4 linked regions of the Oryctolagus cuniculus genome follow. The protein of the gene in region 2 interacts with the protein of the main gene of each other region in a biochemical or structural test. Links are inferred from orthologs where the notes say so. Each region holds a gene or a part of one and is shown on either strand. Other genes may lie near its edges.

Evidence for each region.
Region 1: the proteins of WDR5 (region 2) and SETD1A form a complex in vitro, tested with the Homo sapiens proteins (4 studies listed by BioGRID, with this or other methods). The link is inferred for Oryctolagus cuniculus from reciprocal best matches to the Homo sapiens genes WDR5 and SETD1A.
Region 3: the proteins of WDR5 (region 2) and CHD8 form a complex in vitro, tested with the Homo sapiens proteins (2 studies listed by BioGRID). The link is inferred for Oryctolagus cuniculus from reciprocal best matches to the Homo sapiens genes WDR5 and CHD8.
Region 4: the proteins of WDR5 (region 2) and SETD1B interact in a test that uses a peptide from one of them, tested with the Homo sapiens proteins (3 studies listed by BioGRID, with this or other methods). The link is inferred for Oryctolagus cuniculus from reciprocal best matches to the Homo sapiens genes WDR5 and SETD1B.

Annotation. Positions count from the first base shown.
Region 1 is NC_091450.1:6,180,836-6,188,575, reverse strand, and holds part of SETD1A (histone-lysine N-methyltransferase SETD1A), read left to right. Parts: coding exon 1-534; intron 535-655; coding exon 656-1,432; intron 1,433-1,864; coding exon 1,865-2,041; intron 2,042-2,162; coding exon 2,163-2,250; intron 2,251-2,900; coding exon 2,901-3,058; intron 3,059-3,192; coding exon 3,193-3,280; intron 3,281-4,776; coding exon 4,777-5,118; intron 5,119-7,740. UniProt on the Homo sapiens protein: Histone methyltransferase that catalyzes methyl group transfer from S-adenosyl-L-methionine to the epsilon-amino group of 'Lys-4' of histone H3 (H3K4) via a non-processive mechanism.
Region 2 is NC_091432.1:235,838,793-235,845,410, reverse strand, and holds the end of WDR5 (WD repeat-containing protein 5), read right to left. Parts: intron 5,865-6,618; coding exon 5,789-5,864; intron 5,460-5,788; coding exon 5,426-5,459; intron 5,231-5,425; coding exon 5,156-5,230; intron 4,710-5,155; coding exon 4,622-4,709; intron 4,317-4,621; coding exon 4,216-4,316; 3' UTR 3,353-4,215; downstream 1-3,352.
Region 3 is NC_091443.1:53,536,528-53,544,267, reverse strand, and holds part of CHD8 (chromodomain-helicase-DNA-binding protein 8), read right to left. Parts: coding exon 7,643-7,740; intron 6,778-7,642; coding exon 6,610-6,777; intron 6,077-6,609; coding exon 5,897-6,076; intron 4,812-5,896; coding exon 4,701-4,811; intron 4,388-4,700; coding exon 4,191-4,387; intron 3,929-4,190; coding exon 3,729-3,928; intron 3,648-3,728; coding exon 3,467-3,647; intron 3,382-3,466; coding exon 3,292-3,381; intron 3,029-3,291; coding exon 2,925-3,028; intron 1,145-2,924; coding exon 1,015-1,144; intron 602-1,014; exon of another isoform or gene 492-601; intron 1-491. UniProt on the Homo sapiens protein: ATP-dependent chromatin-remodeling factor, it slides nucleosomes along DNA; nucleosome sliding requires ATP. Acts as a transcription repressor by remodeling chromatin structure and recruiting histone H1 to target genes.
Region 4 is NC_091452.1:7,204,064-7,211,568, reverse strand, and holds the end of SETD1B (histone-lysine N-methyltransferase SETD1B), read left to right. Parts: intron 1-60; coding exon 61-180; intron 181-257; coding exon 258-395; intron 396-2,365; coding exon 2,366-2,539; 3' UTR 2,540-4,627; downstream 4,628-7,505. Other genes in the region: HPD (4-hydroxyphenylpyruvate dioxygenase), read right to left, coding at 7,263-7,486. UniProt on the Homo sapiens protein: Histone methyltransferase that catalyzes methyl group transfer from S-adenosyl-L-methionine to the epsilon-amino group of 'Lys-4' of histone H3 (H3K4) via a non-processive mechanism.

The sequences.
Region 1 (7,740 bases), on a different chromosome or scaffold from region 2:
GGGCCCCCATTCGCTGAGAACACAGCAGAGCGCTTCCCCCCTTCCTACACCTCCTACTTGCCCCCCGAGCCCAGCCGGCCCGCCGACCAGGACTACCGGCCCCCGGCCTCCGAGGCCCCACCCCCAGAGCCTCCAGAACCTGGCGGAGGTGGGGGCGGCGGGGGACCCAGCCCCGAAGGTGAAGAAGCTCGGACTTCCCCTCGCCCGGCCTCCCCGGCCCGCTCCGGCTCCCCAGCCCCGGAGACCACGAACGAGAGCGTGCCCTTCGCGCAGCACAGCAGCCTGGACTCCCGCATCGAGATGCTGCTGAAGGAGCAGCGCTCCAAGTTCTCTTTCCTGGCCTCCGACACGGAGGAGGAGGAAGAGAACAGCGCGGGGCCTGAGCGAGACCCGGGCAGTGAGGTGCCTTCCGGGTCGGGCCACGGGCCCTGCACACCCCCTCCGGCCCCGGCTAACTTTGAGGACGTGGCACCTGCAGGGGCCGGGGACCCTGGGGCTCCCCGGGAGTCTCCCAAGGCCAACGGACAAAACCAGGTGAGACAGACGTCTGGGCTCTGCCGGAAGAGGCGCGTGGGGGCCGGGAGGCAGGGCTGGCCGTGGGGACAGGGACAGGCGGCAGCTCTCTGTGACACCCCCCCCTCCGCCCCCTCCGCAGGCTTCTCCGTGCTCTTCCGGAGAGGACATGGAGATCTCCGATGATGACAGGGGTGGCTCGCCCCCCCCAGCCCCGACACCGCCCCAGCAGCCTCCACCTCCGCCCCCGCCCCCGCCGCCGCCGCCCCCCTACCTGGCGTCCCTTCCCCTTGGTTATCCTCACCAGCCTGCCTACCTCCTCCCGCCCCGGCCTGATGGGCCACCCCCCGAGTACCCCCCGCCCCCGCCTCCCCCGCCCCACATCTATGACTTTGTCAACTCCCTGGAGCTCATGGATCGACTTGGGGCTCAGTGGGGAGGGATGCCCATGTCCTTCCAGATGCAGACCCAGATGCTGACTCGGCTCCACCAGCTGCGGCAGGGCAAGGGGCTGACTGCCGCCTCGGCTGGTCCCCCCGGAGGGGCCTTTGGGGAGGCCTTCCTCCCGTTCCCACCCCACCAAGAGGCAGCCTACGGCTTGCCCTACGCGCTCTATACACAAGGCCAGGAAGGCCGTGGGGCGTACTCACGGGATCCCTACCACCTGCCTTTGCCCATGACAGCCGAGCCCCTGCCCTCCTCGGTCTCGGGAGCAGAGGCCCGGCTGCCTCCCAGGGAGGAAGCCGAGCTGGCGGAGGGCAAGGCCCTGCAGTCGGCGGGCACTGTGGGGCGCGTGCTGGCCACCCTGGTCCAGGAGATGAAGAGCATCATGCAGCGAGATCTCAACCGCAAGATGGTGGAGAATGTGGCCTTCGGGGCCTTCGACCAGTGGTGGGAGAGCAAGGAGGAGAAGGCCAAGGTGAGGGCTGGTTCCTGGGCCCCGGGCCCCGGGCTCCGGGGAGGAGGTAGACTTGAGGCGCCTCCAGCCTATGCCGCACAGAACAAATGAGAGTAGATGAAGGCACGTGCAGAGCGAGGCCTCGGGTCGATTGGGCAGCAGGCGGCCGCAGGCCAGAGGTCGGGAGAGCTCTGTCCCGGCTGCGCTGCTTGCTTGTGGTGGACGAGCCCTTGGGTTTCTCTGGGCGTCAGTCTTGGCTTTTGCCATCTGTGAAGTGGGTGTGAGGTTGGTGAGTCAAGTGAGCAGGCTTCTGAGGACATGCTGTCGCGGTGTGTGACCCATCCCCGTCAGACCGTGGAGCAGGGAGGGCCGTTCCTGTACCCGTGGGGTCTCAGCAGTCCTCGGGCGGGGGGCATGCCTGGGCCCGGGGCTCAGTCCCTCTGCTGCCCACAGCCCTTCCAGAACGCGGCCAAACAGCAAGCCAAGGAGGAGGATAAAGAGAAGACGAAGCTCAAAGAGCCGGGCCTGCTGTCACTCGTGGACTGGGCCAAGAGTGGGGGAGCCACAGGCATTGAGGCCTTCGCCTTCGGCTCGGGGCTGCGCGGGGCCCTGCGGCTGCCTTCGTTCAAGGTACCGGTTCCGTGGTCTCGCTGAGTGGGGTGCAGGGCGAGGGGCCCCCCTCTGGGGAGGGGTGTGGGGGAGCTGTGTCTGTTCGGAGTTCCTGATGGGTCCATTCCTTTCCCCTCCCCAGGTGAAGCGGAAAGAACCATCCGAAATTTCCGAGGCCAGTGAGGAAAAGCGGCCTCGGCCCTCCACTCCGGCTGAGGAGGATGAAGATGGTGAGTGGGCGGGGCTGCTTGGATTCTGCCAGGGAGGCCCGAGGCAGGGGTCCAGCCGAGGGGAGGGCTGGCTCAGGCGTTGGAGCCGCCACGTTGGAGCAGCGTTGGAAGGGCTTCTTGATGGAGTGGAGTGTGCCGTGTCTGGGGTTTTCTGTTCTCAGTTTTTCCACCTGCAGAATAGAAATAGCAGTTTCAGTGCGTCAACTCCCAGAGCGTCAGGGTTAAACATGCCCCCCCCCCCCCAAGTTGCTGTCTGAGGCTCAGGTTCTGCACCTGCCTTCTGGTTGCTAAGCCCGTGCTGCTGGTTGACGGTCTGCGGGGCTGAGGCACTTCCTTGTTGAGTCAGATCTGCTTCCCGGTAGATCCGTTGGCCTTAGCACTTTCTCCTCGGACCAGCCATAGCAAGAGAGCTCCCTCTTCCACCGGGCCCAGACAAGGACAAGAGACAGAGTGGGTGGGACCTGTTGGGGAGTTTAAGATGTTAGGTGACTGAGGTGTTCGTGTTGCTCTATTGCACGTCAGCTTGTCCGCAGAGTGAGGTCAGGAAGCTCAGTGGTGGTGCGTGTGTACCTCTCCTTGCGTAGGGGAGGGAGGGGAAGGGCAGCCCCCGTGGAGGGCAGAGTGCCCTGCTCACCCCTCCCCTGGCCCAGATCCTGAGCGGGAGAAGGAAGCTGGAGAGCCAGGACGTGCGGGGACCAAGCCCCCAAAGCGAGAGGAAGAACGCGGCAAGACCCAGGGCAAGCATCGCAAGTCCTTTGCGCTGGACAGCGAAGGGGAGGAGGCGTCCCAGGAGTCCTCCTCGGAGAAGGTGAGGCCCAGGGCCTCCCAGGCCCTGCCAGAGGCCCATTTGCCGAGTCCTCGTCCTTGTAGCCAGCTTCTCTCTGGCCTGTGCCTCCTGGAGGACAGTTGTCCCCTTCCTGAGTCCCTGTTCTTTCTCGTAAGGATGAGGAGGACGAGGAGGAAGACGAAGAAGACGAAGAGCGAGAGGAAGCTATGGATACCGCTAAGAAGGAGACAGAGGTGTCAGATGGTGAGCGCCGTTGGCTAGGATCTGGCGTGGGGAGGACGGGATTCAGCCACCTGGCCACCCCTTTCCCGGCCCTCACTGCCTTCCTGTGTGGCTCCCGTTCGCCCTCTGAACCCTTGGGCCCTTGGGAACAGACACCCCCGTCCTTGCCGCGCTCCTCTGGTCACCTCTTCCTGAGACACGGCTCTCTGAGGACCGCCCAGCAGAGCCTGTGCCTTTCCCCAGGCCCGAGATAGGGGCCCGGCTCCTCCTGGTGCCCGGATGTGTCCGGCCTGTACCTTCCCGCTCTGCCACTTCCTCCTCCTTCTGGCCCAGCCCCCTCGGCTGCCATCACCAGGCACCTCGGTGGAGCACCTGTGTGTTGCCCCACGTCCCTTGAGGTCTTGGGGACTTGGTTTTAATTCTGCGCTGAGCCCCGCCTGTGTGCCGGTGGCGTTGGAGGTGACGTAGCAGTGACCAGGACAGTGTGCTTCCTGCTGTGGCAGAGCTGGTTGCACAGGAGTAGGCTTGACAAGCAAGTGGGCCCGCCGTGCCCCTTCAGACAGATTTGTGCTTTGAAGAGGATAAACTAGATCGATGCGGTAGAGAGCGCTCGAGTGGGGGCCTGGGAGAGGAGCTGCCTCAGCCGGGCGCGGTGGGTAGAGCGCCGATCCGAGGGCCTCCCTCACCGGTCATTTAGGGGCCCGGCTTTCCTAAGGATGCCGGCTGCAGACCCTACACGTCCACTTGACCACCAGGTCGCAGGCGTTTGAACTTCTGAGTGCTTCTTGATTCGGTTTGCGCTTTCGTCCTGCCCTGTTGCCTTGGACTCGGGCAGCCGTCTTGACTGCCCTGTCTCCGTTTCTACTCTTCCACCTCCTCCCCAGTCCCGTTTCCAAACCGCCTCCAGAGTTCTTGAATTCTCTTACCTGCAGTGTGTGCCTGACCCTGAGGTCTCTCTCTGGGCTCCATCGCTGGCCACGGGGTAGCTTGGCAGCCCGACACCGGGGCTGCGGTAATGCGGCCCCTGCTTCTCTGCTGGGCTGCGTCTCGGCATTCTCCAGTGCCCCCCATGCCCCGCCTCCAGCTTCCGTTCTGATGTGCCCACTTACCTTCCCGAGACTTCTCCAAGCCCTTGCCGTATGTGGCCCGTCTCCCAGAGGCCTCAGGCAGGTCCCGTTTTCCAGGCTCATTTCACCCCGGGTCCTCCTGCAGGGAGCCTGTTATCCACTGTCCCTGACACCCGCTGGGGGCCAGAGCAGACGCCTTGCGCGGCCCCCAGCCTCCGCCCTCTCCCTGCTCCCTGTCCCTGCCTTCGGCATCCTCTCGGATGTCATCCCTCACTTGCTCCTTGAGACACAGCCCGGGGCTTCCCTCCGCCATCGTCCCCATGGCTGTCGCGTTGTCAACTGACCGTTTACGTGCCCAGCATTGCCAGTGAGGGGTCCGGGAATGAACTCACGGCTTGACCCGGTCGAGGGTCTTCTCATCTCGCCTGATTGCCCCTTCTGGATTTCCAGGCGAGGACGAGGAAAGCGATTCGTCCTCCAAATGTTCTCTGTATGCCGACTCAGATGGTGAAAATGGTAGCACGTCGGACTCGGAGAGCAGCAGTTCCTCCAGCTCCTCCTCCACCTCGTCGTCGTCCTCGTCGTCCTCGTCGTCGTCTTCGTCATCTGAGTCCTCTGAGGAAGAGGAAGAGGAAGAGGAGCACCCCCCGACCATCCCCTCAGCCTCGTCGCCTCCCAGAGACGTCCCAGCGCCCCTGCCAGTGCCTGCGGTTGAGCCCGTGCCGGAGGGCGTTGCAGCCTCTGCTGTCACACCTGCCCCCGAGCAGGAGGGGTCCCCAGCGCGGCCTGCAGGTAGGTGCTCCGGGCCGTCGGCCGGGTCTGAACAGGTGCGTGCGAGCCGTGGAAGCCGGGTGTGTCGGCTGTGTGCGTGTCCCTGGGTGTTCGTGGACACGTGACAGAGAAAAAAGTCACTGTCTCTTGTGAGTCCCACTCGGCGACCTCCGTGGCCGCGTGCTCAGGCTGCCCTGCTGTGTGGTCTACAGCGCCAGGCCCCGGGCTTTGGCTACTGAGATAAACCAGAATGGCCCCTTCTCAAGCACATGAGGGAGAAACTTCCTGGTTTGGTAAATACTTCCTACTCGTTTTCATGAAGCCCGTTCCTTTTTTATTTTATTTTATTTTTTTTTTATTTGACAGAGTTAGTGAGGGAAAGAGGCAGAGAGAAAGGTCTCCCTTCCTTCTGTTGGTTCACTCCCCCAAATGGTTGCTATGGCCAGCGCGCTACGCCGATCTGAAGCCAGGAGCCAGGTGCTTCCTCCTGGTCTCCCATGCAGGTGCAGGGCCCAAGCACTTGGGCCATCCTCCACTGCCCTCCCGGGCCACAGCAGAGAGCTTGCCTGGAAGAGGGGCAACCGGGACAGAATCTGGCGCCCCGACCGGGACTAGAACCCAGCGCCCATATGGGATGCCAGCACTGCAGGCGGAGGATTAGCCAAGTGAGCCACGGTGCCGGCCAAGCCCGTTCTTTAACACGTAGTATGTGCAGGCAGTTAGAAGGGCAAATGGGTCTAAAACAAATATTGACCTGTTAACCCAGAACAGTTCTGGCGTTGCCTTCCTGTGTGGATTTGCATATTTAGTTGTTTTATAGCGTGTATGTACAATTATCCTACTGAGTAACCTACTTGTTCAGGCACTAGATTTTTCAAAATTTTTTTTTTAACTTTTTTATTTAAAAGAGACCAAAACGTCTCATCTGCTGGCTTACTCCCTAAATACCCACAGCAGCCAGGGCTGTTTCAGGCTGAAGCCAGGAGCTGTGCGCTCCAATCTGGGTCTCCCGTGTGTGTGCGAGGGACCCAGGTGCTTCCCAGGATGTGCACTGGCAGGAAGCTGGAATCAGAGCAGAGCCAGGACTGGAACCCAGGCATCCCAATGTGCGACGTCCGATGCCTGCCCGGGCACTGGCGAGTTACAAGTACTTGCTGTGGCCAGGCGGTGGCTACTGGGGATACGGCGTTGTGCCCAGCAGGCACTCTTCTTGCTCTCAGGAAGTTTGCAGTCTGTAGGGAGAGATGACCTGGTTGAATAATAAATATAAAAGCAAGGAAGAGCACAGGACACTTGGAATCTGAGTGCTCCTGCGGCCCGGGATGGTCTCCCCGCTGAGACGTAGCCAGGCTGCAGTCCCTGATCAGGCAGGGAAACAGCAGGGTGGAGACCTGGAAGGAAGTGAACCACCTGGAGACCGAGAGCTGCAGGAGCGGGCACAGCTGAAGCAGTGATTGGCAAGGGCGGGGCCCTGAGCCTGTTAGGAGGGTGGTCTTTATGTCGTGGGCAGTGGAAAGCCGATGGAGAAGTGACTTGGTCAGATTTGCGTTTTAAAAAGATGCAGTGCAGAGAAGGCTTGGAGCGGGCCAGAGTGGGCGCAGGGAGACTGTTGGGAGCCCGTCACGGCGGCAAGCGGGCAGTGGGCAGAGCGCACTGGGGCGTTCCCCCAGTGGGAGCCAGCAAGTCAGTTTTCTGGGTGTGCTTCAGAGACGCACGTGGCCTCCCTGGCATCTCTCACTTGAACGTGGCAAGTCTGTGGTCCAAGGTAGGCAGTGGCCACGAGAGGACCTGTGCAGGCCCGGATCTCAGGAGAGGCAGATGGAGCCTCGCATAACTCCACAGGTGGCTCTGCAGCCGCTCCTGCGTCCTTGGGGCACAGGCAGGGCCCAGGCCTCACTCACTCTTCTTAGGCTTTTTTTTTTTTTTTTTTTTTTTTAAGATTTATTTTACTTGAAAGTCACAGTTACACATAGAGATAGAAAGAGAGAGAGAGGTCTTCCATCCGCTGGTTCACTCCCCAGATGGCTGCAATGGCCAGAGCAGCACCAATTTGAAGCCAGGAGCTTCTTCCAGGTCTCCCAGGGGCCCAAGGCCTCGGGCATCTTCTGCTGCCTTCCCAGACCACAGCAGAGAGCTGCACCGGAAGTGGAGCAGCAGGGTCTTGAACCGGTGCCCATACAGGATGCCAGCACTGCAGGTGGCGGCTTTACCTGCTGTGCAACAGTGCCAGCCACTGGTCTTTCACAGTCAGTGGGACAGGAAGGGGGCGGGGCATGGCCAGATCTACATTTCAGAGACCATTCTGGAAGGAGGTAGAGTGACATTAGAAGGTTTAAAGGAATGCAGGTGCGGTCAGGGCATGAGCCAAAGCAAGGGATTGATAATGAGGCGCAGGGGAGTGGAGTGGGGGTGCAGACGGGAGAACTTGGGAGAGGGACAACTTGGTGAGAATACCTACTGGGGCAGGGGACTCGGGAGAGAGAACCAGGATGAGGAAGAAGACAGATGACATTAGTTGGGGTTGACTTTGAGGCACCTCTGGGGCCTCCAGGCGGAAACATGGGCGCTGGCCGGCCGGACCCGAGGCTCTGGGGAGGCTGGGAGTGAGTAGAGATACAGGGGTAGCGACGGTGCGGATGTGAA
Region 2 (6,618 bases):
CGCTTGCGTGGCGCAGCCTCGCCCCCTGGTGGACACTGCTGGAATCGCCCGACACAGTGCCCGCGAGAGGGGTCCCTGGTGGTCCCACCCGGAGAGGAGCCCCAGGCCCCCGGCCCGGCAGCCTGACCAGACGTCTGTGCCTCGCATGTGTCTTCCCAAAGAGGTGCAAGGCAGGGGCTGGGAACCCACCCTGGTCTGGCCTGCGTGGCATCCAGGATCAGCGCTCCAGGCTGACCCCTGGGCCTCAGCGGTCACTCAAGTGGGCCAAGACCAAGAGGGCGGGATTCCGTCTGGGAAGGCCCCGGGGCTAGCGTGCGGAAGAGGCCTGTGCCCACCCCCACCCAGCCCGCAGATGCTCGGGAACCCGGGGGAGGAATCGGGCTGCCTGGCAGGGGAGGGCAGTCTCCCACCACGCTGCCCGCTGGCTGAGGCTTCCTCCTGGCGCCCAGAGCTGGGAGCCACAGATGAGCAGGTGGACGGGGCCGTATGCCCGGGGGGCTTCCTGGGCAGGGAAGCCACCTCGAGGGGCGCAAGCCAGCCTGACTCCCCCAGCTGCCCCAGCCCGGGTCCCCGGCCACTCCCCAGGGCTGGAACAGGAGCCTCACGAGAGGTCTGGACCCTGGCTTCCGAGGACGCGTGGGCCTGGAGGCCAGAGCGCGGTCCCGGGGCCGAGGCGGGCAGCCCGGACCGCCAGTGCCTCCCGGGGACCGGAACGGCCAGGCCAGGGCTGGGCGTGCGCGCAAGTCCAGCAGGGGCCGCCAGAGGGCGCACCGCCGGGGCCGCACGGGGCCCAGGCCAGATCCCCCGGGGGTCTTCTAGGTCCCCGGGCGGGGGTCTTCTCCTCCCCACACCAGCCCAGGGCTCCGACAGCCCAGACGCCCCCTGGCCACCCGAGGACGCCGCCGGCGGGGCGCCCGGGGTACAGGTGTGCGGGAGACACCAGCCCCGCCCCGGCCCCCCAGGGGCTTCTGCCCGGGACCCCGGCCGAAGGTGTGGGCGGGGCTTCGGCCGCGGACGCCGACCCCCTGGGCGTGGGGGTCGTCAGGACACAAGTCCAGGCCCCCGGGGGCGAGGAGACCCCGGCCCCTGGGACGCCAGCGCACGGGGGAGGGGGTCATGGATACAGGTTCCTGGCCTGACTTGGGGGGGCGGGACCCTGCGCCCCCCTCCCCAGAGGTCCGGACCCACCGTACGGCTGGGGAGCCTGGCCAGCGGCTCCAGGGCGCCCGGGCCCCTCGCGCCCAGCCCACCGGGGACCAGGATCTTGCGGGGGCCGGAGTGTGGGGTGGGCGAGGCCCCAGGTCCGCACCTGGCGGGGGGGGTCCTGTGAGCCCAGCCCCAGCCCGGGAGGCCCAAGGGCAGGGGGCTCCTGGCCGCAGCCACCGGCTGTGAGTGACAGGGCAGGGAACAGGGGCAGAGCCAGGACCCCCGGCCCGGCCCCGCCTCGGCGCCCGCAGGTGCAGCGTTCGGCGCGTATACAGTCGGCGCTCAGGGCTGCGGGGCCGTCGGACGCACGCGCCATCCAGCGAGGGCGCCACCACCGCCGCGGGGAGCCCAAGGGCCACGCGCGGACACTGCACCCGGATCCGAGGGCGCCACGACCCACGCAGGCCGCGCGGGCTCTCGGCCCGCGGAGCGCGACCACGCAGCCACACGACCGCGCAGAGCATGCGCAGACCCTGAGCGCCCCGCGGCCCCAACGCCCCGAGCACCCACAGTTCCAAGCGCAGAGCCGCGTCCGGAAGTCCGTGGGCGGATCTTCCGAACTTCGTTCTCTGATTCGAAACCAGCCACATCCACTTCCGCCGAGGGTGCGGGGCGCTTCCGTCCGCCGGCGAGGCGCGTCGCGTCGCCGCAGGAAGCGCGCCCTCCCTGTTTTGTTTCCGGGGGACTCGGCCTCGCGGAAGGACGCCCGGGACTTCCGGTTGTTCCATTCAGCCTCTGATTGGCTAGTTTTATGAATATATTAAAACACAAACGCAGGTCTGTTTTGTTCTTATTACGCTCGAGTGAATAAAAGTCTCCGGAGGAACAGCGGTTTTTTTTCGTCTTTTCCTCAGTACTTCGCAAATATGAGCTGTGTAGGCTGAGTGAAAGTCACCGTCGCCGTAAAGTGAGTGGATTTTTGGGCTTTAAATACTTTGTGGACGGATTGAGAGCCGTGTTGTATGAAAGGAGAGAAGGTTAGCACTCCCCTTGACAAGGATGGAAGAGGCCCTCGGGCCTTACAACACACATACGGTTAAGGCATTGCCACCTACTTCGTGGCATCTAACCACTGTTTTTTATTACTGCCCACGCCCACGCCACGGGCACAGCCGACCCCACCCCGCTCCGCCGGCCCCGCGGCCCCTTCCTGGTCCCAGGGTCCCTGAAAGGGGACCGAGAGAGGAGGGGGCGGCCGGCCCGCGCCCGCAGGGTGGGGGTCTCTGCAGGAGACAGGAGGGGCAGGCCCCGGAAGCAGGGGTGGGGGCGCTGAGGTGTCCCCCGGCCCACTGTGGAGAGCGGAGTAGGCGCCCTCGGGCCGCTCGGGCCCCGACACCCACGCAGGACCTCGGCTGCAGACCCTGGAGGAGCCTGCTAGGGGCCTGGGGTTTGGCCGTGGCCTGACGTCAGCACCACCCACGTTGAAGGCCAGGAGCGTGGACGGACACGCACGTGCCCAGGCCTGGAGCCAGCCCACGCTCCGCAGAGCGGCGCGGAACCGCGGCCTGCCCTGGGCCTCCGCGCCCCAGGACCCCGGCTGTGTCTGGGTGCCACCCTCCCCCACGACCCCGGGGCTCCCTGCTCGGTCCGCCCCCCAGCAGACGGGGTCCCTCAGGGCCCTGCATTGTGGGCGCTTCCAGGCCCACCAGCTGCGGGGGGCGGGGGGCTCCCCGGCAACACGGGAGACACGGGCGCGGAGTGGGGCGGGCCCTGGCCACGTGGCGCTTGTGGCCCCGCGGGGACAGTGACCAGGCGCCCATGTCCATCTCCGGCTCCGGCCTGCCAGCGCTTGGGGCGAGCAGAGCGCATGGGTTCTCTCCGCCCCTCGGATTGTTCTAGAAACCGAAACCTGGTGGCCACACCGCGGCGCTCGGCTTCCTGCAGGGGTCCCTCCGGCTGCGGGGGCGCACCTCGGCCCGCCCACTCCCGCTGTCCATCATCAGCCGAGGTCTCCGCACACCAAGGACGTCCGGCGGGGCCGGGCCGGCAGGCGGAGGACGAAGCCGCAGGGCTGCTGCCCCCGACACCCCCAAGGGGACCCACGCGGGCCTGAGCACTGGGTGCAAGCCCCCCCCCCCGTGTCTGCCTAACTCTGCCTTCCAGGAAACAACCTCAAAAAGGAAAGAAGAATTCTTGTAGGACGAAATTACAAGACATGAAAATCTTTAATTTCAAAAAGAAATGTATTTTTACATAAATCTACAACAGAGAATTCAAATGTAGAAAAAATAAACTATATCCGGGACACGGCCACTCACAGCCCCCGAGGGAGCCGCGGCCACCAGAGCCGGAGTCCGGGTCCCGGGGACGCCCCGGCGCTGCGCCCAGCCCCCGCACCCACCTCTCCCGGCGCAGTCCCAGGCCCGGCAGCGGGGGCGGCCCCACTGCCTCTGCGGCCCCGCCCTGGGCGGCCCCCACCCACAGGAGCCGCGAGCTGCCTGGGCTGCAGCACGGCCTGGGGAGGGGTCCCGGGCGGTGCCCTGCGACACCGGAGCCCAGGAGCAGCGCGGGCCCGCGTCCTCGGGGAGACCCTTCGACTCCCGCCCCCGCCCCGCGCCGGCCGCGTCCCCAGGGAGCCCTCAAGGCCGCCCACGCCCAGGCCGGGCGCGGCTGCCCCAGGGGACGGAGCCCGGGGACGGAGCCCGGGGACGGAGCCCCAGGACGGAGCCCCAGGACGGAGCCCGGGGACGGAGCCCGGGGACGGAGCCCGGGACGGAGCCCCAGGACGGAGCCCCAGGACGGAGCCCCAGGACGGAGCCCCAGGACGGAGCGCGGGACGGAGCGGGGCGGCGGGAGTGGTCGCAGCAGGGGCGCTGGGCAACGAAAAACCAAGAAAGGTGCAGCACGTTTACGCAAAGACACAACTCACGAAACTGGACGTCACCCTCGAGACACACGAGAACTTTGTTGGCGCCGCGCGGGCACAGCGCGCGGGGGCGCCCCGCCCCGCCCCGGGTGGCCACGCCCGGCCACGCCCCGCCCCGGGTGGCCACGCCCCGGCCACGCCCCCTAGCAGTCGCTCTTCCACAGCTTGATGGTCTTGTCGTTCTCCAGCGCCGCCGAGGCGATGATGTTCTCGGTCGGGTGGCAGGCCGTGGAGATGACCACGTCTGCGGGCAAGGACGCGCTGTGGCCCGCGCTGGGGGCCCGCCCGCCCCGCTCCCCGCTCCCGGGGCCGGCCTTGCCCACCACGCCCCCCTCCCCGCGTGCCCAGGGCCCAGGGCCAGCCTCGCCCCTTGCCCGTGCCCAGGCTCCGGGCAGGGACGCCGACCCCGCCCCCGACCCCAGAGGAGCGCGGCCGCCTCGCAGCCCGGGACGTCCCAGGGCCCTGGCCCGGGCAAGGGTCGGGGTCTGCGGCGCCCCGGGGGCGCGAGGGGACCTGCACAAAGCCCGCCTCCGCCGGGCCGCGCCTCACCTGTGTGGCCCTGCAGCTTCTGCACGATCTCTTTCGTCTGCAGGTTCCAGATGTACACCAGGTTGTCCTCCGAGCCGGACACGATCCACTGGAGGGGAGCACACGCGTGCAGGTCAGAGCTCACGCGTGCAGAGGCCCCGCCCCGGCCCCCACACTCAGGATGCATGCAAGAACTTCCCGACTGTGCCACTTGGCAGTGTGGGCGCACACGCGTGTGCACGGGCCCTGTTAGGAGCGGGACACTAGACGGAGAAGCCCCGCCCCCGCAGCCAAGCTGCAGGCGCCCGGGCCACGCCCCCAGCCCGCCCCACCCACACCACCACTCTCAGGCAGGCTGGAGGTCCTCGGGCCACGCCCCCCAGGCCCGCCCCGCCCCACCCCCAGGCAGGGACGGCGCCCCAAGCCCACCCTGCCCACAGGGCCATATTCAGCCAGACTGGAGGCACCCGGGCACGCCCACGGGCCCGCTTGGCGCCTGCACCCAGCCGGGCAAACCCAGGAGGCCCAGGGCAGCCTGCAGCGAGCCGCACTGACCTTGCCGCCAGTCACGGAGAAGTTGGCAAATATACAGTATTTCTCGTTCTTGTGTCCCGTGTAGGTCTTCAGGCACTGGAAAGGGGGGGCCGGCTGAGCCCTTCCCGCCCCTACCGGCTCAGCCGCCCCCGGACCTGCCCCTCCCCCCAGACCCCCACCTCCGGCTCAGCCAACCCCAGACACCACCCCCCTCAGCCGCCCCCAGACACCCCCCCCAGCCGCCCCAGACCAGCCCCTCCCGGCTCAGCGGCCCCCAGACCCGCCCCTCACCTTCCCCTTGCTGTAGTCCCAGAGCTTCAGCGTGCTGCAAGGCATAGATGGGTGAGGGGCGTCAGCGGTCCCCACCGGAGCCGGGAGGGCGCGCACCGCACCCCTGCCCCACCCAGCCAGCGCCAGCCCCGTGGGACGCTGCGTGCGGGAACATCCACAGGACTTCTCCAGCTGCCCTGCCCCCCCAGGAACCCTGACCTCGGAGGGGAGCAGGGGGCCACCAGGGGGCCGGGCTGGCCTGGCAGGTGCCCACCCAGAGGCTCCAGGTGCTGCTCCACGGAGGCCGGCGGCTGCTGGGGGCTGCCACTAAGCGCCCCGCGGCAGCGCGCGGTGCACCGGGGAGGCGCCCGCAGCAGCACTCACTTGTCCAGGGTGGCGGCCAGGATGTATTTGCCGTTCGGAGAGAACTTCACAAAGGACACCGGGGGGTTGTCGTCATCTGCGGCACAGACGGGCAGGCTGACCCGGCACCCCGTCCCCCAGGCACACACGTGCGGCCAGCACCACCCTGGAGCCCTCGCCCACGCCCGTCCCAGCGGTGAGGGTTGCCACCAGGCCCCGGCACGCCCCCAGCTCGGGACAAGGCTGGCGGTGCCGCTGGCAGAGGCCGAGGTCTCCGTCACCCCCAGGCTGGCCCTGCAGGCGCTGACCTGGGCCCGAGAGCCTCACCAGGGCGCCGGCACTGCAGCTACAGGGGCCACCGCTCCCACACACGGCAACACCAAGGCCAGGGTCCAGGACGTGACTGTGCCGGCCTCCTCACCAGGGGACACAGGGAGGTGCGCCCCGGGCCAGTGTCAGGCCAGCCGCTCCCTGGCCCCGGGTGCCCCTGGGCTGGCAGGGTCCCTGGGGTGTGCGCCGGTGTGGCGTGGTGTCCCCAGCACCAGGGAGGACCCGGCACCCAGCGTTACCCCCAGGGGCTCGGCGGGGCCTCCGCTCCTGTGGGCTGCTCACACACACTGCAAAGGGACGTGGGGGGTGAGGCCACGCAGCCGCCAGCCGAGCCGGTCACGTCGGCTACCGTGAACCAGCGCCCGCCGCCTCTGACCCGTACTGCCCGACCCAGAGAAGTCGAGCGCTCGTCCGCCGGGCCTGGGAGAGCAGACGAAGGCCACCGGCCTCTCCTCCCTGCCTCGTGCCTGCGGCTTGGGCCGTGCTAACCGTCCGCTGGGTCCAAGTCCTGGCCCAGCACC
Region 3 (7,740 bases), on a different chromosome or scaffold from region 2:
TATATCTTTTATCACTAAGAGGGACCTAGGATGAAGACCTGGCCAAACATACAATCCAGCATGGAATAGTCTTTAATTTCATGATTGTAGGAATAGCAGGGCGGGTGCTAAGCTTTGGGCCAATTAGGTACAGCATCTAACAAAACAAGAAATTACAAGAAACCAACAAAGTGACACTCATAATTGCTTGTATTTGAAATCAAACACTTTAATCAGAATACTTCCTCTCTATAGCTCTTTCTATTGTTTAACCCATCCTCTCCCTCTTTCTCAACTATTTACTCTTTACTATGATATTTGAATGGTCCATGTTTTTTGTTTTTGTTTTTACTACCATGTTCTAATGAGCAGTAATAATTGATTTGCAATGAAAAATGACCCAATTTCCTTTGAGGGTCCTACAGCAAATTGAAATTGTGATCAACAATGAGAAATTTCTAAATTGTGTAGGCATGGGTAGGTATTCATTAACTAAGCCAACTATTTCACATGCCCCTCAGGTCTTCATGTGAGAAGTTTTGTTAAACTCACTGGCACCCAAACCAGGGCAATAATGCCCTACCTGGTGGCTCAGTATTAGCATGGCAACTCATCATTGGGGCATGCATCCAGGAGGAATAAATATGTTTATGTGTCAGGCAGCACTGGAAAATGATAAACCAGGGCAGAAATTGCCTGAGGCTATACCACATAAGCAACATGTGAGAGCTGCCTGACTCCTCTCTTTCAAGAGAATCAGCTGTTGTTTCAGCTTCTGTGGCTGTGCAGAAGAATGTTATATAGTGCATTAGAACAACTACTCAATGAGTCACTTGGGTATAACATTACATTTCACCCTTAGTTGTACCTTAGGGTGTCATGTGCTTTAGGTTAATTTATCAAGCCATATCCGCTGGTCCACTCTGTTAAAAGTTTGAATCCCAATGGGTTCAGAAAGGGTGGTTATGTTATCTCTTAGGTCAAGCTTCATAGAGTGAGCTCAAAGTTTTAAGAGAACTAAACACCAATGCTTACCCTTCTACTATGTCAGAGAAATTATCCAACACTCGATGTTCTGCTGCAATGGCTTTATCATCTGGCCGGCCAGCCTTTTCTAGGAAGCATAAGGCTGGATCTGCCCTCATAGTATTGTATTTCTCATAGCCTAGAAGAAAAAGAACCAAAAGTAGAAGGAAATCAGATTCATTTTGCCTGTATGCTTATGTAGATGCTGGAATAATTGGAATATGTGTGTTACTTTGCTCTTAATCCAAAATATAGGTAAAATGTTAATGGGGGTAGCTGTTGGGTTGTATTATTATAATTGACATTTTATAGCAATTTAGAATCATGAAGACTTTAAATTAGTGATTGCTGGTATGAATTTAATCAAAGAGGGGCACACATCTGGCACACTAGTTAAGATGTTGCTTGGAAAGCCCTTATTCTATATCAGAGTTCCTTGTTACAAGTCCCAGCTCTACTTCCAATTCCAGCTTCCTGCTAATAAGGTATACCCTGGGAGGTAGCAGGTGATGGTTCAACTACTTGGGTCTCTGCCACCCATGTGGAAGACCTGGATTGAGTTCCAGGCTCGTGGCTTTGGCCTGGCCTAATTCCAGCTATTGTGGGCAGTAGGGGAATTAACCAGCAGATGCAAAATCTTTCTCTCTGCCCTTCAAATAAATAAAAATACATAAACTAAAGGAATTTTTAAATGGTATTTAGTCAAAGAATTTTTATATTATGGTGATAGATTTACATAACCACATAACTGGTAATCTTTCATCATTAATATACAGAAGGATAAATAAAGCTAAATAATTTAATGATAGGTCACACATTCTCAAGTGAAGAATAAGAAACTTAGGTTTTTATATAAATAGGTATTCAGTGAATATTTGATGAACACACTCAAGGATAACTAGACTCTACCTGTGTTTCACAAGTAAATCTCAGACTACAAATGCTCATAGTTTTTCTTATCTCATTAAACTTCTCACAAATATGTAGATTAAGTGTGATTACTTTTATTTTATTTAACAGAAAACTATTTTTAGAAAAAGAAAAGGTTTCCATTCATGAACTCACTGTGCTGGAAATTAGTACTCAATGCTTTTAGTGCCTGCGATTTGTTAGTAGACAAAACTGAGTATATTGTGATCTTATACTCTATTTTTGTTTTAACTCAAAAACTGCTGCTCGGCCGGCGCCGCGGCTCACTAGGCTAATCCTCCGCCTTGCGGCACCAGCACACCGGCGCCGGATTCTGTCCCGATTGCCCCTCTTCCAGGCCAGCTCTCTGCTGTGGCCAGGGAGTGCAGTGGAGGATGGCCCAAGTGCTTGGGCCCTGCACCCCATGGGAGACCAGGATAAGTACCTGGCTCCTGCCATCGGATCAGCGGCGGCCATTGGAGGGTGAACCAACGGCAAAGGAAGACCTTTCTCTCTCTCTCTCTCTCTCTCTCTCACTGACCACTCTGCCTGTCAAAAAAAAACAAAAACAAAAACAAAAAAAAACTGCTGCTCACACCTACATTAGACTGAATGTTGAACATTTAGACAACTGGGCCACTTAGATAAGTAGAACACTTTTCAACAAGCTACAGGAAAGTCATACAAATTAAGTCTGGTCATTACTAACAGGAATGGGCATATATTACTTCCCCTGATTTGTGGAACCTCAACATAGCATCACAACATACAGTGGGGTATCATACTGTTGATCGTGATTATAGAACCAATGGGAGGCTCCCCGCCTTAACTATCCATCTGGCCTTTCTTGAACATTTATTTATAGCATCTAACTGCTCTGCTCCTATTCAAACATAATTTATAGAACATCAGTCAGAGGACTCATTGTTCTTGAGTTTTTTTGCTAAATGTTTCATCTGTGGACATAAATCTTAAATAGGAAAGAAATTAGACTAGGGGAAGATACCTACCATGCTTAAAGACTCCAATGAGGAGGGATTTATCAGCCTCACTGTCCCACCATGTTGTTGGAACTTCCAGCTGATCCACTACCGGGAACCATATGTCAATCTCACTAAAGATACAGGAGGGCAGAGTCAGCAAAGCAATGCAGAAATTAAAGTGATAATTCTCAGAAAGATTAATATAGCTATTTTCCTTAATCCATTAATTCAAATGATCAGTATTTCCTACCACTAGAGTCAAATATAGGATTAAAGACCTGATGTATAGAGATTTAAACTAACAGGTATCCCAAGGAAAATACAGAATGAAATAAGCAAATCAACCTTTCTTGGAATTAGGCAGAACATAAAGAAAAATACAGAAAAACTATACCTGGCAATGGCACCCCCTAACACCTTCTCTGCTTGGTCTCCAATAACCTCTTGCCTCAGGTAGTATAGCATTCGTACCCTCAACAGTACCCTAGGAGAAGGGAAGGAGAAAGATAGCTCATTATCAGTGCACAAAGTCTGAGCTGGGAAATTTCTTCACGAAATTCAGTTCTTACTTGTTACACTGATGTTTCAAGTGCTTCTTGTAACTCTCATCTTGGAACAAAGTGTCAGGGTTATACTTTCGGATCCAGTCTGCCTTATGGATATCAAAAGTACTTTGTGACTTTACTTTTTTCCCTTTGCGTCCACGGGGCACAGGGATAGATAGACCTGGGAAAGGGGAGACATCAAAGACTTGGATTGAGAAAAACCCTTGGATCTGAAAAGGGACTAGATAACCGACAAAAAGATGAAAAGTAAAGAGTTGGTAATTACCTGAATGATTTTGCAATTCTTTGGTTTTGCCATTCTCAGCGGGGCTAATCAAGTCCCAAATGAAGCCTTTGATATTTTCATCCCCACGGTAGTGTAGAAGACAGTAGACAAGGATGGCCCGGCAAATTGTCTCCACATCTCGTTCAGTCATACGTCGCTTAAAGCGTCCATGAGACAAAATATCTCGCCATCGTCCCCAACTAAACAGAAAATAAAACTATATTAATATTTTTCTGGAAATGCTAATTCAGCAATATTCCCCTACCTGCAAGAATTACATCTTCCAAAAGGTAAGAGATTAAAAGATCTTGAACAACACAGTAAAGGAGTAACAGGAGTAAACTCCCTCCACAGCAAAAATCTGATTGTCCCCTCTTTGGTCATAGCCTCCAATTTGAAAGACAAGCAGGGTGTCAGTCAGGATGGAGATATAGCACCTCTCATGGTAAGCTGAGTTCGTACCCATATACCAGCAGGTGTTTTTCCACCCGAAAGCAGTCAGTGCGCCCATAGGCATGATGCCGGTCATGTCTTCGGGAGCGTGGCCGCTCATCATCCTCACTTTCCAAATCAGAGAACTCTACTAGGTCGTCATCTTTCAGCGTGCTAAAGTGGCGGGTCTGTTTTCGTACTCTAGGTGTGTCAATCACCAAATTGTTCTGTGCAGACAGAAGAAACTCTCTTCATTATATGCTCATAAGAAAATAATTAAAGACAATTAAGGTTTGAAATAGCCTGGTATGTAACATATGCAGATATCCAAAGAGATATTTCAAGGACATGTAAAATAATCTTCAAGAAGCAAAAGTAAGTGGTAGATTTCTAAGTACTTTTCTGAGGCCTCCTGGGTTAGAATGTTTCCAGACCAGCCCTTCTGTATAATATGCCATCTAAACAACAAAGCAACAAAGAATCCTGAAAAGTTTTGTGTCTTCTGAGGTATTTCTTCCCTAAAGGAAGACTTAAGCTCACCTTGCTATTCAGCAGATCCATGTCTAGGTCAGCCTTTTTGGCCCACTTTTGCCAAAAGTTGGGGTCATCCAGAGAAATGTCTGTTCTATTTTCAGAAGCAACAAAGCTTGCCTAGTGAGGAAAAAAATTGAAAGTTTTGTTTATTTGAAAGGCAGGTAGAGAGAGAAAGAGAAGAAAAAAAATATCGCCTATCTGCTGATTCACTCCCCGTACACCCACAACAGCCAGGAGCTCAATCCAGGTCTCCTATATGGGTGGCAGGGAACCAAATGCTCAAGCCATAGCAAGCTGCCTCCCAGGGTACACAATAGCAGGAAGCTAATCCAAAGCAGAGCTGGGACACAAATCCAGGCCATCTGATATGGGAGGTGCCACTGCACCTTAGGGCTGGCACTGTGGTATAGCAGGTAAAGCCACTGTCTTCAGTGCTGGCATCCCATATGGGAGCTGGTTCAAGACCTGGCTGCTCCACTTCTGATCCAGCTCTCTGCTATGGCCTGGGAAAGCAGTACAAGATGGCCCAAGTCCTTGAGTCCCTGCACCAATGTGGGAGACCCAGAGGAAACTCCTGGCTCCTGGCTTCAGATTGGAGCAGCTCTGGTTGCTGCGGCTTACTAGGGAATGGACTAATGGATGGAAGAACTCCCCCTCCCCCCAGCCTCGCCTCTCTCTGTCAAATAAATAAATAAATATTTTATTTATTTTTTTTTTATTTTTATTTTTTTAAATTTTTTGACAGGCAGAGTGGACAGTGAGAGAGAGAGACAGAGAGAAAGGTCTTCCTTTGCCGTTGGTTCACCCTCCAATGGCCGCCGCGGCCGGCGCACCGCACTGATCCGATGGCAGGAGCCAGGAGCCAGGTGCTTTTCCTGGTCTCCCATGGGGTGCAGGGCCCAAGCACCTGGGCCATCCTCCACTGCACTCCCTGGCCACTGCAGAGAGCTGGCCTGGAAGAGGGGCAACCGGGACAGAATCCGGCGCCCCAACCGGGACTAGAACCCGGTGTGCTGGCGCCACTAGGCGGAGGATTAGCCTAGTGAGCCGCGGCGCCGGCAATAAATAAATATTTAAAAAAAATAAATTAACCACTGCACCAAACATTTTCCCCGATAATTATATCTGTAAAATATATTTTAATCTTACAGATTCCTTTTTCTATCCCTGCTTTACCATTCTCTGGCACAGACAGATCATACCTTGGCAAAGGTAGAACCTTTTCCTTCAGATTCAATGGTGATAGTTGTAGTTCGTCTTAACAAGATTTGGTCAATGTCTTCTTCACAAAACTTGGAGCCCTCATCATCTTCTTCCATTATTGCTGCATATGCTCCTTTTCTTAAGAGATCTTCAATTTCCTTCTTGGAGAATTGTTGGATCTACAAAACCCAACAGAAAGATGAAAAAAGTACATGATAGTATTATCTTTTTTAAAAAAAGTTATTTATTTGAAAGTCAGAGTTACAGAAAGACAGAGATAGCCAGAGAGACAGAAAGATATCTTCCAGCTGGTTCACCCCCAGATGGCTGCTGGGCCTGGCAGAAATTCATCCTGGTTTCCCACATGGGTGGCAGGGGTCCAAACACCTGGTCCATCTTCTGCTGTTTTTCCCAGGGCATAGCAGAGAGTTGGATCAGAAGTGGAGCAGCAGGGACACAAACAGGCATCCATATGGGATGCTGGCATAGCAGGCAGTGGCTTTTATCCGCTGTACCACAAAACAGGCCCCATGCCTTCATCTTTGGGCCATTACATTATAAGAAATAATTGATAAAATTATTTGTAAATAACAAACTTAAAAAAGAATTCAGAATCTGAACAAGGTACTCAGATTCCTGTAAAGAAAAAAATATCTATTATCTCTATCACTAAGACTCATTATAAACTTATCTATGGACTAAGAAAACTCACTCCAGTAATGTTGCCATCCCGACCACTCATGGATTGAAGTACAGCCTTATCCAATCCCAACTTGAGGCTAGCCTTATCAAACATCTCTCTCTCATAGGAATTACGAGTGATGAGACGGTATACTTTTACAGCTTTGCTCTGTCCAATTCTATGACATCGTGCTTGGGCCTGGTTTAAAAAAAAAAAAACAACAAACAAACAGTGAAAGACAGGATAAAATTAGAGGGTTAAAAAATACAAAATACCAATTCAAAATGATTTTACATTTATAAAACAGCTATGTGATCAACTTAAAACCAAAGTCAATTTCTTTTTTCTTTTTTTTTTTTTTTTGACAGGCAGGGTGGACAGTGAGAGAGAGAGACAGAGAGAAGAGAGAAAGGTCTTCCTTTTTTTTTGCCATTGGTTCACCCTCCAATGGCCGCCACGGCCGGCGCACCGCGCTGATCCGATGGCAGGAGCCAGGTGCTTCTCCTGGTCTCCCATGGGGTGCAGGGCCCAAGCACCTGGGCCATCCTCCACTGCACTCCCGGGCCACAGCAGAGAGCTGGCCTGGAAGAGGGGCAACCGGGACAGAATCCGGCGCCCCGACCAGGACTAGAACCCGGTGTGCCGGCGCCGCAAGACGGAGGATTAGCCTAGTGAGCCGCGGCGCCGGCCCAAAGTCAATTTCAAGATAAAATTTTTATTCCATCTTGTACATGAGGGGTCAGCAAATTATACAGTCTGCATGGAGATCTGTTTCCATAAATAAAAGTCTACTAGAACAGTCTTACCTATTCATTAAATACTGTCTATGGCTGCTTTTCTGCTATAGAGGTAGAATCAAGTGGTTGCTAGAGTCCATATAGCCCACAAAGATACATCACTTATTAGCTGGCTATTCATAAAGTTTGCTGACCCCTGAATTAACTGCAACCCCTAACTAAGAAAATAATTCTGTACTCTCTGTAGGAGAGGTCTAAGAGATCCAGGTCTTGTTGAAAACTTCCCAAGTTAGGTAGTTAGTCCCAAAGACAATAATTTCCTTTACCTGGAGGTCATTTTGTGGATTCCAGTCTGAATCAAAAATGATGCATGTATCAGCAGCAGTAAGATTAATACCAAGTCCACCAGCACGGGTGCACAACA
Region 4 (7,505 bases), on a different chromosome or scaffold from region 2:
CCGTGGCAGGGCCGGGGGCCTGGGGGGCAGGGCTCACTCTTCCTTACCTGCCTCCCTCAGTTCCGGAAGAAAAAGCTCAAATTCTGCAAGAGCCACATTCACGACTGGGGCCTGTTCGCCATGGAGCCCATCGCGGCCGACGAGATGGTCATCGAGTACGTGGGCCAGAACATCCGCCAGGTAGGTGCGGCCTGGCACGGTGGGCACCTGGGTGGACGCAGGCCGCGGGGCACTGCCTGACGCCCCGTCGCTGGCAGGTGATCGCGGACATGCGGGAGAAGCGCTATGAGGATGAGGGCATCGGCAGCAGCTACATGTTCCGGGTGGACCACGACACCATCATCGACGCCACCAAGTGCGGCAACTTTGCGCGCTTCATTAACCACAGCTGCAATGTGAGTACCGGCCAGGGCCAGCGCTGCCCCCGCCTCTGTGAGGAGGACCCGGGAGCCCCCGGCAGGGGAGCCGGCTTGGCCTCCTTCCCAAGTGCAGGTCATGTTCATGGGGAGGTAGGGATGTGAGGCCCTGTGCGAGGAGCCTTGTTCAACTCCGAGCTTCTGTCTTCTCATCTGTAAAATGGGCACAGTGAGGCTTTTGTTGCTGTGTGAAGCACTAATGGTGCTCAGGAAATGTTGCTTCAGCCGTGGGCTCCCCCCAGTGCCTCCTTGGGCGGGGCTTGGAGAGAGCTCAGGCTCTCGGCACAGCCTCCCCCGGGGACTCCCTGCAGTGGGCTCCATGTCTCTGTGTTGTCCACTGAGGAAGACTGGCCACACATAGGATCGAGCCCTTGAAATGTGGCCAGTACAACTGAGGGACTGAGTCTTGAGTGAATTGAAGCTTAGATTAAATTTTTTTAAAAGATTATTTGACAGAGTTACAGAGAGAGAGAGGGAGAGACAGAGAGGTCTTGCCTCCGCTGGTTCACTCCCCAAATGGGTGCAATGGCCCAAGCTGGGCCGATCCGAAGCCAGGAGCCAAGAGCTTCTTCTGGGTTTCCCACATGGGTGCAGGGCCGTCTCCACTGCCTTCCCAGGCCATTAGCAGGGAGCTGGATTGGAAGAGGAGCAGCCGGGGCACAAACCGGTGCCCATACGGGATGCCAGTGCCGCAGGCAGAGGCTTAGCCTACTACGCCCCAGTGCTGGCCCTGAACCAGGTGGTGCAGGGCTGGAGAGGAGGGGGCGCTGCCCGCGGGATTCCTGTGCTGAGGGAGACCCGGCGCCACAGGCAGCTGGTGCCAGCAGAGGAGCCCTGACTCGGGCCAGGCTTCGGCATCCTTGCTGTAGGACAGTTACCATCACTGCGCCTCAGTTTCCCCATCGGTGAAGCAGAGGCAATGGCAGCCGTCCCGTCAGAGGTTGTGGAGTTCCGCGTGAAGGTCCTTGGTGTGTGCTCACACGGCCAGCCCCGTACGCGTCCTCGCTCTCACAGCTGTGACTTGGTCATTGTGCCTTAGGGACCAGAAGAGACTCTTCCTGGGAGTCTGTGAGATCTGAGAGACAAAGAGTGGGAAGTGGGGCAGGTGTTCTGGTCGGGGAGTGGTATGTTCAAAGGCCTGGGGGCAGGGCTGGAGCAGCTGTTTGAGGGGCAGCATGTGGAGGTGGTGGGTATGAAGTTAGGGGCTGAGAAGACGAGGCAGGCAGGTTGGATGGGGCCAGGGTGCTGACAACATTGGAAGGCTTGGAGCCGTAGGGTGGCTCTCGGGAGAGCTTCCCCTGGCTGCTGGGCTAGGAGTGGGGCTGCTGCCATCCAGGGGAGCAATGATGGGGGCCCCGTAGACGGACTCAAGAGTTCCCTTAGAAGCTCGAACGTCCCAGACACGGTGGGGCTGGAGCTGGCACTGCAGGAGGAGGGGAGGTGGCTGCTCAAGGGCCCAGGCGCCCGGTGTGGCCTCTGGCCCAAGCAGGAGCGGGTCACAAATTCAGGTTCGAGCTTCTTGAGTCAACGCCACCTCCCAGAGCAGCTGAAGGCAGGTGCCAAGCGGGTTCCTGGAGTCATGGGTCTGGGACAGGAGCCACATTGCTCCGGGTCAGAATTTTTGACTTTGTGGCCCAGGTCATGTCTGCAGCAGCTGCCTAACTGCGGCGGGAACAGCGGCAGCCACAGGTGACACGCAGGGAACGGGTGAAAGGGGGTGGCTGTGTGCCAATAAAACTTTGTTCAGAAAATCAGGCAGCTGGGGGCATGGCTGGTAGCACCCTTGTCTCAAGCTCAGAAGAGAGGGCCTGGCTGGCAATACAAATTGCAGAGTCACCTGCAGTAGGAAGGGAAAGGGGGACCCTGTGGCCGGAAGTCAGGCCCCGAGCAGAGGTGCGGTTGGGTCGGGGGGGGCTGGGGCTCACCCTCCTCCTCCTCTCCTGCCGCAGCCCAACTGCTACGCCAAGGTGATCACGGTGGAGTCGCAGAAGAAGATCGTCATCTACTCGAAGCAACACATCAGCGTCAACGAGGAGATCACCTACGATTACAAGTTCCCTATCGAGGACGTCAAGATCCCCTGCCTGTGCGGCTCTGAGAACTGCAGGGGGACCCTCAACTAGCCCCGCCCGGCGCCCACATGTCGGCCGGGGCCGGCCCCAGCTCCCGCCTCATTTCAGGTGCTGTCCCTCTCCCCCTGTGGCCCCGCCAGGGCCCGGCGCCCCAACACTACCCCAGGACACCCCCCGCAGCTCCAGCCTCTCCGCGGGAAAGGGCTTCTCTGTCCGTCAGCCCACGTCTCTTCGTTTCCAGAATTGCTCCTCTGAGGATCGTCCTTGGCCATGAACTTCTGTCTCTGTGTCTGACTCCCACACCCAGTCCCTCCTCTCCGGCTTTCTCCATCTTTTTTCTGTCTGTACCCTCGGCTCCTTCCCGTGAATGCTGCTACGTTGTTTTTGTCTTCTCTTTATTTTCGTCCTCGTCGTAAGAAAAGACATTTTAACCGTTGAAATGTGAAGGCAGAATCAGAGCGGGGCCTCGGTTCCACGACTGAGGTGCTGGCCAGGTGCTGCGGGCAGGGGCCGCCAGCGGCTGTGACCTCAGAACACTACGTACCTGCCAGGCCCCCTCTGCCCGCCACGCAGCGAGGAGCCCCCCAGCCTTCTCCACCCACTCCCCAGTCTCTTCCCCGAGCTGCTGGAGGAGCCATCCAGTCCCAGGCAGGAGTGCGCCGTGGGCTCCCTGCTCCCCACCCCCCAACCTTGGGTTCAATGTTTACTTTTTCATTCGGATGCCAGCAGCGAGGGAGCCCCCGGGGACCCCAGACTGGGTGTGGGGGCTGGGAGGGGCTGGTGAGCTGCCCGTGCCCGCCCCACCACTGCAGCGTGGCGCGTTCGCGTGGAGAAGCTCCACGCCCCCCGCCCAGCGTCGACCCTGCCAGGCCAAAGCATATTTATTTGCTGAGTGAGCAGCTTATTCCTCCCAGAGAAAGCAGAATCTTGGAGAGAAGATTTGAAAACTCAGATCCAAGTCTTTGACAGTTTTTTCCCTTTTGACCCCTTCCATCCTCTTCAGGGTTTATATCCATGGATTTTTGTTTCTTATGCGTGTGTAAAATCCAGACGAAGGGGGACACGATGGGTTTGGCAGTTCAGCAGCAGCCCCTGTACATAGACTGCCGCGAAGGACTCCGGGGCACGTTGTTTCTTGTGGAAACAGATGGGGGGCTTAGGCCTCACTGCTTCGTACTTCCGGGAAAAACCACGACAGGCGCACGAGCGCGAGCCCCCCCGGCCCCGGCGAGCAGCGCAGGCGTGTACATAGTCTCTGGAACGTGACTGGTGACCGGCGGCTCCAGGACGAGAGGCCCCGCGGCGCGGCTCCCACCCGTGGACAGACGCGAGGCCTCTGCTATCTCAGCTTGTGTCAAGCTTGTATCATGTAAATTCTGTACAAAGAATTGTTATTTTTCTCTCTTTTTTTTTGTCGTTGGTGGTTTTGTTTTTTTGTTTTTGTTTTTTTTTCCAGTTCACCCCAGACCCTCTCGGGTTGGAGACCGAGCCCGCCGGTTTCAAGGCGAGGAAGTCGGTGGCATTAGGATGCGACAGGGTGTGGGGTCCCTGGGCACCACGGCAACCTTCTCTTCCACGTGCGGTTCTTTGCCTTGTTGTGCAACTGAGGAAATATTTATTTTTCACACAAGGAAATGTGTAGTTGGCAGAGACTTCATTCTCACCCCTCCCCTCCCCCCAGGAAAGAAAGAAGTGGGGGGAGGTGAGGAAACCAGGGGAGGGGCTGGCCTCGCCCCACCACACTGGGGCCACTGTTAACTTCCCCAAGGGCCAGGGGCTGGGCCCCCTCCCCGGAACCCCGCCCCTACCCTGGAATGGTTTGCAATAATCTAGAAGAGTGTTGGCTCATTTTTCTTTCAACTCCTTTGTTTGCATTGAACAAATCTCTGCTTTTGAAGGTTAGGGGTTTCTGCTGTGCCCCCCGCTCTCTGCGAAGAAGAGAAGAGATGAAATCTAGGGGTGTTCGTGTGTACACTCTGTCACCTGTATGTAACTTGTTTTGAAGAGAAGTGTTTCCGTTGTGGGTGTGTGTTGCTGTAAATATTTGTTCATATTTTTGTGAATTCAATACTATGTACCATTGTATTATAGTAACTTTTATAAAGCAAACCATAAATACACTGACTTTTCTTACAGATACGCCATCTCTCTCGCTCTCCTCTCTCTGCCTGTCCTCCTCGTTCTCTCTCTCTGCGGGGAGCACTCCCCGGCCAGGCTCTGCGCAGCAGTGTGTGGCGTGGTCCACTGGGTGGGTTCTGTGAAGTGGGCCACATCACGGTCAGACGGCCTTCCATAGCCTAAAACTTTAAGGTGTCACCGCCTGCCCTTGAGATCCGATCAAGCATTCTGTGGCCATCATCAGAAGAACCCACAAAGAGTGTGTGCTCAAAACACCTGACACCCACAGGGCCAGGGTGACAGGTCCTGTGCCTGTGGCACTCCAGAGGTGCTGGGCGGAGAGGGCAGGGGCACTGTCCAGGGAGTCTCAGAAGGAGACTCCAAGACTGCAGACAGCACCCGGACTGGGAAGACCCCGCGCCTCCCTTCTCACTAAAGAGATGCCAATGACAGAGGGACACCATTTCCCCATCAAGGCGGCAAATGCGAGTTTGGAAATAGCCAGTGTTGGCCGGGCCGGCAGACAGGGCGTGCCATTAGCAGGAGCCCACTTTGCTGCGGGCTGCGGGAGCCCTGCGATGGGGACCATGGGGACAGAAGATGCTCATACCCTTGGCCCAAATATTCTGTCAAGAACCAAGCCTGACGGACACAGGACTGTCGCAGCGTGCTCTGGCGATGGTGACGTGAAGCCGGGGTGCGCTTCACTGGGGTGGGCTGGCGGGAGGGAAGGGAGATCTCCCCTAACTCACTCATTTGCCCAGTACCACCCAAGCACCCACCGTGTGCCAGTCTCGCAGGCCCTGGGGAAGCATCCTGAGCTGAATGGCTTGAAGAATGGAGGTGGGAAGAAGAGAGAGCTAAGAGAAGGGGTGTCCATTGTGGGGGCAGGTGTGGGGGGTCGGCTGCAGTGGTGGGGAAGAGGCCGTCCAGGAGAGGGAACAGGGAGGGCAAAGGCCTGCAGGCAGGAGCCCACCTCAAGTATTAGAAACAGCCGGATGGCAGGTGTGGCTGCCGCCGACCAAGGGCGAAAGGTGCTGAGTGAGCGCTTGGGTGAGGCCGGCAATGGAGGCCTCGCAGGGCAGCACGAGGGGGCCACACCCACACATTCCATCTTCTCCCTGGAACTTGGCTCCTGACGGATCTTCCATCTCTGTCAGTGGCATCTCTGCCTCCCACCTCCACCCACCACTCCCTGCTGCCACCTAAACTCAAGACCCCCAGCGACCCTGGACTCCTGCCCCCCACCCCATCCTGCCAAACCTGATGGTGCCTCCTTGTTGCCCCGCCTCTCCCTCTCCCCCTGCCCTTCTCTTCATTGGTTCTGCCAAGGAGGGGAGCACAGGGGGAGCGCCGATTGGAGATAGATGCGTTCCCGGCAGCCTCTCTGTGCCAGCCGCTATTTTAAACATCCGACCCTCGAGCCATAAGAGAGGGATAGTCCCATTGCACAGATGCAGAAACAGGCACAGAGAGGTCAAGACGCTTGCCCAAGTTCACACAGCAAGCAGCTGATCTGGGGTGTGAACCTGTCCTCAGCTAACGGGGACCTCCCCCCAGGCCCCACCTGCACAGGCCTCCCACTCAGCATCCAGCATTTGAGGCTAACTAGAGGCCTGATCGTGCCAAGAACCAGAATCCTAGACTTGCATTTGAAACAGCTCAGCTTGCCGAAAAGTCGGCTCAAATGTGTTTGAAGAAGCCTCGCAGGCAAGCGAACCATCGTCTGCGAGCCGGTTCTGGCCCAGCAGCCCCCCATCTGCAACCTCAGGGCAACAGAATTCCCCTGCTTTGCACCAGCTGTGCAGAAGCGAGGGTGCTTTTGCCCGAAGCTGGGGCCTGATCCTCTGGGATCTCTCGGGTGTTCTTTTCGTTTTTGAAGTTTCTGATCCCTGAAGATCCAATTTCTTCTACCATCTGAAAAAAAATAGGATAAATTCCCCATTTCCCCCTAGGACACCCACCCACGTGGTTTCCTTGCACTGCGATCCCAGTGGACTCCCGGGAGCACAGGGAGAGGCCAGGAACGCACCTCCTCCTCCCCTGCCTGCTTTTAGAGGAAAGTCCCCGAGCTCCAAGGGCTGGGGACCAGAGGCGGCAGACGGGGGTCGGACCCCCGCACCCGCGCGCCCTGCACCCGGGTGGTCGCGGGGCAAGGCTTGCGCCCCCAGCTCCTCGGCTCCCGCTCGCTCAGCGGTCTGCGCGCCGCCGCATGGCACATCTGGGGACAGGCCGCCTGCCCAGACCACGAAGCCCAGCTCCGTCGCCGCTCCCGGCTCTTGCACCTGCCCCTCTGCCCCCGGATTTCCCGCGGCGGGCTCCCCGGTGCCACCCCTCAGGGGTGCCTCTTTTCGCTCGAGAGGAGCCCCTCCCCTCTCCACCGCCACGTGATCCCGGCACCGGCTTTATAGCACTCGCCTCTCCACGAAACCGCGACGGAAGCCCAGCCCTCCCTAGCTCCGGAACGCCCCCGGCATCCGCGCGCCGGCCCATTGCGGCTGCGCGTCCCGACCCCGCGCGCGGGCGCCGCCGCTCCAGACTCCCCCTGGCGGCGAAGAGGAGCTACTGCGCCTCAGCATCCACACGCCGGTTGGACTGGGGCGAGCTTTACTCAGGAGGACACGTGGTCACGAGGTGGGCGTGGCTCGGGGTGTGGCTAGTGGGGACTGACGCGCCGGGCCCGGGAGGGGAGCGTGTTCCGAGGCGGGGGCGTGGCCGCGCGCCGGCGAGTGGGCGGAGCCTCTGTAGGTCGGCGGGAGTGGGCGGGGCCTACATGCCGGGCACCACCCCGTTGGTCTCCATGTCGGTGAGGTTGCCTCTCAGATTCTGCTCCTCTTCGAAGGCTTTGAACAGGGAGTTGAAGTTGCCGGCTCCGAAGCCCTACCGCGGGAGACAGAGG